2 linked regions of the Danio rerio genome follow. Each later gene encodes a partner of the first gene's protein in a complex. Links are inferred from orthologs where the notes say so. Each region holds a gene or a part of one and is shown in the gene's direction. Other genes may lie near its edges. The genes, in order: apaf1 and casp9.

Region 1 (3,828 bases):
ATTCCTGCATGCCTGTGGTGGCTGAGGAAACCATTTTGAGTACCCGAAAATGCTATATTATTGCATTTAGCAATTTAAATTTGATGTAGTATTTATATATAAATGGATTCCATTAATGTATTTTTTTAAGGAATATTTTGTTTGTTAGTAACTGGGTATTAGTTTAAAATCAACTAGATGGATAAATGCTTGGTCAGATTTAAAGGTTTTATCAGTAATAAATTTCTTACATGTTGATAGTTTATATCTAAACTATAGAAACTATAGAAATTAAATCTAAAGAAGTTTGAACAATTGTAATATAAATAGAATAAATGCTAGATTATTTTATAAGTAATACCTGATCAGGTATAGACAGTCAGAATATAAATGAAAACCTAACCATATTATATAAAGTAGAGGGGTGAAATATACTAACTCACCAACCACTTAAATTGTGTTTTTTTTTTTTTGTCAGCTGTTTGAAGTGTCATCTGCGAACGAGTGGAAATCAATTGATGTCGATAGTTTTTTTCCTGAGAGTGACGAAGAAATAAAGGCCATGGTGAAATGCAGCACTTGGTCGGCTGACGGCTCACAAATCATCTGTGCTGCCAGAAACACAGTGTTTGTAAGTGATTTCATGAGTGGTTGCTGTGAAATGAGCTGGCACTGCCACTCAATATTTTTGATTTGGTGCCTGTAAATACAGCCTTTTTAAAATCTGATTCACACACAGTCAAAATTAAATAGCCAGTTTAACCTAAAATTAAATGTAATTCTCCATGGCATTGTTTCTTCTGTTGATTACAAAAGAAGACATTTAAGTTATGTTGGAAACCATTGGAGATTGACTTCCATTGTATTTTTCCTCTACTACGGAGGTCAATGATTGAGTGTTTTCAGGATATGAAATGGTGTTAGCAGAAGAAACTAAGACATTTGGTTTAAAAGGCTTAACTGGCTTAATCTTCTGTAATAAATGCTGAGTTTGAAAGTATTTCTAAAACATAACTTACGTACTCAACATACTCAAGCTGTTAGATGAGATTGGTTTGTTTTCTGATTGTATGTTGTGTGTTTGTGTGTAGGTGTTTGATGTGGAGACGTCAGACCTGCTGCTGGAGCTGAAGACGAGTCGTCTGAGCACTATTCAGTTCTGTCATGCGTGTCCTAACAGCAGCCTGCTGGCCGTCGCTCTCTCGCATTACACCGTAGAGGTACAAAACTGATCATGACTTTCTTTAAAACATTATTAAACATCAATAATTTACTGATATGGCAATTAACATGTAAAGCTGCAGTGACTAGACTTTGGACATGCGAAACATCTATGGATACTGCAATTGTTGTAGTATGATGTTAATCTATGCTATCCTTAAAGTAATTAACCATTCAAGCATAACTGAGATATAAAAATGTGTAATTTAACTTTTTGCGTGCGTATTTAAAAACCTATTGCTGTATGCCAATAACTGTTCTAAGGTTTTTGAACATAACCAGTGTTTTATTTTAGATTTTATATATATTTTTTAGATTGAATTAATTTAAATAATTTTATTTTATTCATAAATCATGTATAATTTTTTCTAACGCTGTTACACAGTCCCTCTGGGATTTTGGAAGTCCTGTCCTTCTAAGATTAAAAAAATATTTATATGTAGTTTTGTTCTATTTTACAAACTTTTAGTGCTTTCACAGCAAAATACAATAATTGAAGCTAATAAAGCCATAGGTTTTGAAGAAAGTGATCATAAAATCAGTGATTGATTTTATTGTAGGGAAGCCATGTTTTTGTGTTTTTTGTTTTTTTTGTTAACTCTGGTTGAAGTAATTCTGGCTGGCATAAGTGTGGTGAAGTGCTAAGAAGTGTTGTTTATTTCAGCTGTGGAACTTCGAAAGCAGTAAGAAGAAAGCCGAATGCAGTGGTCATCTGAGCTGGGTTCACTGTGTGCAGTTTTCACCCGACGGCTCACTCCTGCTGTCCTCCTCTGATGATCAGACTATCAGGGTGAGTTGCTTTTACTCCCGTCTTCCCTGCGTTGTGTCAGTTGCATTACAGCGATCTTTTGAACAGCACTGACCTGTGATCATGAAGTGTTGAATGTTATCCAGTTGTGGGAGACGGACCGGGTTCACACTTCTTCTGCTGTGGCTCTGAAGAGGGACACTGATGTGCTGTTCTCTCACAGTGATGCTACGATCATCGCACCCGATAGCAGTAACAGATTACAGGTACTGGACACAAGGGACCAGTGCAATTAGTTGATGTACTGCCATTTTTACTAGGATTTTTTTGCTCATTTGATCTGTTTATTTTTGTTAAGAAATATTAAAATCGGTTCCTTTTTTTTATTTTTTATTTTTTAATGGTTCAATTATTTTACTGCCGTTCTCACATTTTAAAAGCGAGCATTTTAAATTTAACATTAATTCATATCAAGATTTATTTATTTTTAATCAATTTATTAATTTCAAGCAATTAATGAATTTGATCATTAATTTTTTTTATTAAACATGTAGTATTTGAATTAAGTTGAATCAAATGTATTAACATTGTGTGTGAGGTGAGGTACATTTTTGTACATAGTTTTTTTTTTTTTTTGTTGTACAGATCAGTTTAACTTTTTGTCTTGAGGCAAGTTCTAATCATTTCAATTTTAAGCTACTAATTTATTACTACCAAACTGTCACAGGTGCTGAGTGGATCTACAGGTGCTGTCGTGCTTGAGAGCGAGGAGCTGTCATCCAGGATCCGCTGTTCGTGCATCAGCAGAAACGCTGCATTTGTGGCTCTGGGATCTGAGGACGGAACAGTACAGGTGCATCACCTCACCTAATCCAATTCTTAAAAAAACCTTACCTTCATTTTGGCCATGCGAAGCACTGTCAGACCTTCAGGGGATGCTAGTAGGTGTTTTGACTGTCCTCCGGCGATGAGATTTTGCCATGGCTGTCATCTGCAGTCAGTGTTTTCTTCACTCTCTGCTGTGTTTGATGGTGCTGGAGGCGGGTGTTGTCCTCTTGTGTTGTACTGGATATTTGGGACAGTTAAGATGCCTGGAGGTAACAGCTGACTGACAGAACGAAAGTGTGTTCTCGCATATATCACACTCCTCCTCTACTGCCAAACAAACATTTTAGATTTTAGAAAGTGTGACATGGATGAAAATAATCGGTTCATTATATAATCAATGTGTTGTTGACCGAGACAAATAATGTTTATGTACACACGTACACTTGGTTATTTTTGTAATGCTTAAACACTTCAGTTAACTTTAGTGTTTTCTTGGATTTTCTGGATTTACAGTTTGTAGTTATGTTTAATCTAAACAAATCTAAATCTTTTTTCCTGCAAAGTTCCAAGACACCAGAGGGCGCCAAATTGCAACTAGTGTGAAATGGACATCTAATGCATTTCATTTTTAATCTTGCAGGAAATATAGATGCCATATAACGATGCACTATGTATTTATTAATTGCATAATCTCCCCCACCTCAAGGAAAGTCAGACATCAGTGGAACAATGAAGGGTTGCTGTAGAGAGATGAGGTCTATGTTTTGTATGTTTGCACAGACAGGAAGGCTGAAAGTTCGACAGTTTCTGAAGACTGTTGGATGGAGAGCCTTGCAGCTGCTGAACATACAGCGTGATTTTGTGATGGCATTAGGGCTAGAGACAGGTACAGTGCAGGTATGGAGACTAACGGCATGTCTGAACGGCATTCACCCTGACAGCGCTTTTTATTTACAACGTCACAATTTAATTTAACCCACAGAAGTGTTAAATTAAAAACCTAAATGCAACTTCCCACAAAAAAAGTGGCACATTGGAACATCATGAAATCT
Region 2 (3,828 bases), on another chromosome or scaffold:
GGTCATCATCCTTTCACATGGCACTGAGGTAAAACAATTAGCTAAATGCTACATATAATATATTCTATATTTGAACACTATTAGTTGCTCAACAAAGAAGAACAACCTTCATTTGTTTGCATGAGCGGTTTTGATTGCTTCCTCATTTTGGAGAACATCAAAATAGGATCCTACTACCAAATTATATTGTGGTTCTTTTGTGCTTTTTTAATGTTCAGGCAAGCCATAATCGATTCCCTGGTGCAGTTCATGGTGTTGACGGACCGGCTGTCCCAATTCAGATAATCACAAACTACCTCAATGGCCAGAACTGTCCTTCTCTTCAGGGCAAGCCCAAGTTATTTTTCATCCAGGCCTGCGGAGGAGGTGGGCACCTTAAAAATGTTTTACGAGTCTTGTAGCTAAAAATTGCTGACACATTTAAGCCATTTAAGCAACTACATGACAGGAGAGGAACGAGTTTACACATGTGAGCCTAGTGGGTTCTTCTGCCTCAACATTTCATGTATGCTCTTGTATAATAGACTGTAAAAAAAAAGACAAACATATTATTAAAAAAGTGAAGTCAGAATGTCCCAAATTTAAAAAAAAACACAATCAGCATGGTAAGAACTACTTTATACTGTCGAAAAATTTCTTTAAAGTGCAATTAGATTATTTTTTTTGACTCTCGTAACATTCATTTACATGGAGAGGGTCAGGTTTATGACCTGTACTGCAGCCAGCCACCATCAAAATAGCTTCAGTTTTCAGGCATGTTGTAAGTGCACCGTCCACATAGTAGAATTTGAGTTGCACAGTGAATGGTGTGCATCATTTATGGAAGGTATCATACTGTAGTCGGCAAAATGTAGCGCTGTTGCCTCACAGCAAAAAGGTCGCTGGTTCAAGCCCCGGCTGGGTCAGTTGGCAATTCTGTGTGGAGTTTGCATGTTCTTTCCGTGTTTGCGTGGGTTTCCTCCAGGTGATCTGGTTTCCCCCACAAGTCCTAAGACATGCGCTATAGGTGTATTAGGAAAACTAAATAGTTCATAGTGTATGTGTGTATGTTGAACCTTGGGCTAATGACCCACCTCATAAAAATTTGATGTTACGAAACACCAAACACCAACATGGTGTGGCTAAATATCAACTTCGAAATAAACATCCCTGGGAGTAAGTAATTAAGAAAGTATCATACTGTAGTCATATAACACACAGAGTTTGACTACGTTGAAGTGGCAGTTCTGAAGATGATTCTTTAATATTTGCAGACATGAACATATTGACCATTATGAAGTGGAGACTTTTATGGAATGCAATATAATGGTTGATACTTGCATATTTACATGCATTATATAAAGTTTAACAGAACGGTATCCTACACAAGTGAGAATGAGTTTTTTTTAGTGATGCAGTTAATGTTAGGCCTCCAGAAATTATCAACCAAAAATAGTATTTTGCTCTTCAGCTGAAAAAGAAAGGAGGCCAACAAATAAGCCCAAAAAAGGCTGTGCATTACTGGCTTGCAGTGTTTAGTGGGCAGGTTTTAGTCTTCGTCCAGCCATAGTCACTGCTTGAGGTGAAGCAGCTTTCACACTGGATGTGGAAAGTACTGGTCTATGAAACCCATTCATTTCAATGGTTTGTGTCGCTCAAGAGCAGTTTCGACCAACATGTGCCACGATCAATATTCCGCTCTGTGGATATTTCGCTCATGTTCTCATATACTTTTTCATGTACGCTTAAATAACAAGCCAACAAGAAATTTCTATGTAGTATACTTGTTCTTGCTGCTTGTAATAGTGCTATAGGGTGCATGCGATGAACTTTTAATATTTCAGTAACCTGGGTCAAATGCTTTCGGTGAACTGTATGCCATTACAAAATCAATGCGTTTAGGTCTGTTTTCTTTAAAAATCAACGATCTCCACTGGCTGATTGATTTACGATATGAAGTGGGTTTCAAAATGCACAAGAAGCACTGCATTAAATAACATTTTTCCCATGACATGTCTTTAAAATTTAGTTACCTCAGAGTTTCTGCTGATCCTGACAGAGGTGTGCATGTAAAAGGCTTTTTATCTAATTTTACGCTTAAACAGTGAAATAAATGCTGAAGTCTATTATATTTTAATTACATTAAAACATTGATGTTGAAAAAGGAACTGTATAAAATTTTTAAAAAGTCATAATAACCGTTCACCAGATATTTATTGGTATGGGAGGAAACACTAGCTGTGCACAACACTTTTAAAATGCCACTTCTCTTAAATATTTACTGTCAATAAAATGTGGTTATTTTATTTACTTTTGTGTTTTTTTATCAGTTTAATTTAAGTTATTGAGTAATATTTTTTTAAGTTCTACAAAATGATTGCTTATTGTTTATTAAAATAAAAAAATATGATAACAAAGCATTTTCACTCTAGGTTTTGCATCCACAATATTTGGTTTTGGCCCAGAATTTTAATGTGTGTGCATCATTAGTTAGTATGCAAATGTCTCAATGCGCCAGTGTACAAATTGTCTCACTTTGATTAGCTTTTGTGGTTGTTGACACATCAAAGTGGTCAAACACCATATGCTGACATTGTCATATTTTCTTCATTTTGTTTAAAGTTATGTCTCTTATCACCATCTGTACCGAATGTTGGTGAAAACTGATTAAAAAAACTGCATCAAAAAGACTGTCATGAAAACCGGGCATTCAAGAGTTTGGCTCTGTCCAAACACCCACACTTGGCCTTTTGAAAGTGTGTGCATGCAACAGGAAGTACACAAGATTATATGAGCTCTTAAAAACACCAACATGTAGCACCATTAACACACACTAAATGTACAGCAGAGTAAGTGTAAAACACTCAGCGGATAAACAAAGTGCTAACGTGCAATGATGAATGTGTAAAATTGGTACATTATTTAAAATGATTATATGTATTATTACATTGTACTGTCTGTTACAGGTAAGACCAAACATTCATTTAGATCTTTATTTTAAAATCCTAAGTATTAAAAATCAAAATGAAGCTTAGTAAACACTTGCATTACAAGTGTGTCTAGTGGGAAAATACAAAGTTAGTCTACAGGCAGGTTGAAAACTTGGCCCAAATACAAGAAATGTGCTATCTAAGTATATGTAAAGTGCAAAGATGCACATTTGAGTATTTTTAAAGGCACACAATGCAGTCTTCAGCCTAAACAGTCATTTGTGTATGGACTCCAAACATCAGTGGAACCATTTAAACAACCCAAGACTTTATTTTAATTGAATGTTTTCCATGTTGATTGCTATTTTTCAAACTATGGAACTGTCTATTGTTTGCTCCTGTAGGTGAGAAGGATATTGGTTTTGAGGTTTCTCCAGATGACGTTCAACCATCTATAGGTGGGATAGATGACGAGATGGACGCTATTCCCATGTCCTCTAGCAGTGACTCTCTCAGCACAGCGTCTGATGAACTTGATGCACGGGCAAGTTTGCCCACGCCCAGTGACATCCTGGTGTCCTACTCAACATTTCCAGGTTTGTGTTTGGATCAGGGGCTGTCATTTCAGCCCCCTTAAACGTATTAACTCTGAAAGATCTAAAAATAATGATAATAAATTGAGATATTATGTTATGATAGCAATCACAGTATGACAAACCAAGTTAATTTTTGTTTTTTTTTATTTATTTATTTTTTTAATTCTGCTAATGCCTATTCTGTAGCTTTAGCTGTAAGCAAGGAGGATGTGACTTGAAATTCGCCTAAATGCTTGACTTTCATTAATTATAGATGTTTTTATTATTGTTCAATTGTATTTTTATTTGTATTTTTTTCAATACTTTTTTGTTTGTTCCTTTGT

What was found.
Region 2: the proteins of apaf1 (region 1) and casp9 are in contact, whole or in part, in a crystal structure (PDB 4RHW), measured with the Homo sapiens proteins. The link is inferred for Danio rerio from reciprocal best matches to the Homo sapiens genes APAF1 and CASP9. Residues at the interface, in NP_863651.1 of Homo sapiens: Thr22, Ser23, Tyr24, Met26, Asp27, Ile30, Ser31, Ile37, Glu40, Glu41, Arg44; in NP_001220.2 of Homo sapiens: Asp23, Trp26, Asp27, Leu30, Arg36, Pro37, His38, Glu41, Gln44, Arg45.

The regions. Positions count from the first base shown.
Region 1 is NC_133179.1:18,443,120-18,446,947, forward strand, and holds part of apaf1 (apoptotic protease-activating factor 1), read left to right. Parts: intron 1-457; coding exon 458-610; intron 611-1,070; coding exon 1,071-1,199; intron 1,200-1,864; coding exon 1,865-1,990; intron 1,991-2,094; coding exon 2,095-2,214; intron 2,215-2,675; coding exon 2,676-2,801; intron 2,802-3,556; coding exon 3,557-3,673; intron 3,674-3,828. UniProt on the Homo sapiens protein: Oligomeric Apaf-1 mediates the cytochrome c-dependent autocatalytic activation of pro-caspase-9 (Apaf-3), leading to the activation of caspase-3 and apoptosis. This activation requires ATP. Isoform 6 is less effective in inducing apoptosis.
Region 2 is NC_133198.1:27,923,041-27,926,868, forward strand, and holds part of casp9 (caspase-9), read left to right. Parts: coding exon 1-28; intron 29-218; coding exon 219-366; exon of another isoform or gene 367-850; intron 851-3,313; coding exon 3,314-3,505; intron 3,506-3,828. UniProt on the Homo sapiens protein: Involved in the activation cascade of caspases responsible for apoptosis execution. Binding of caspase-9 to Apaf-1 leads to activation of the protease which then cleaves and activates effector caspases caspase-3 (CASP3) or caspase-7 (CASP7).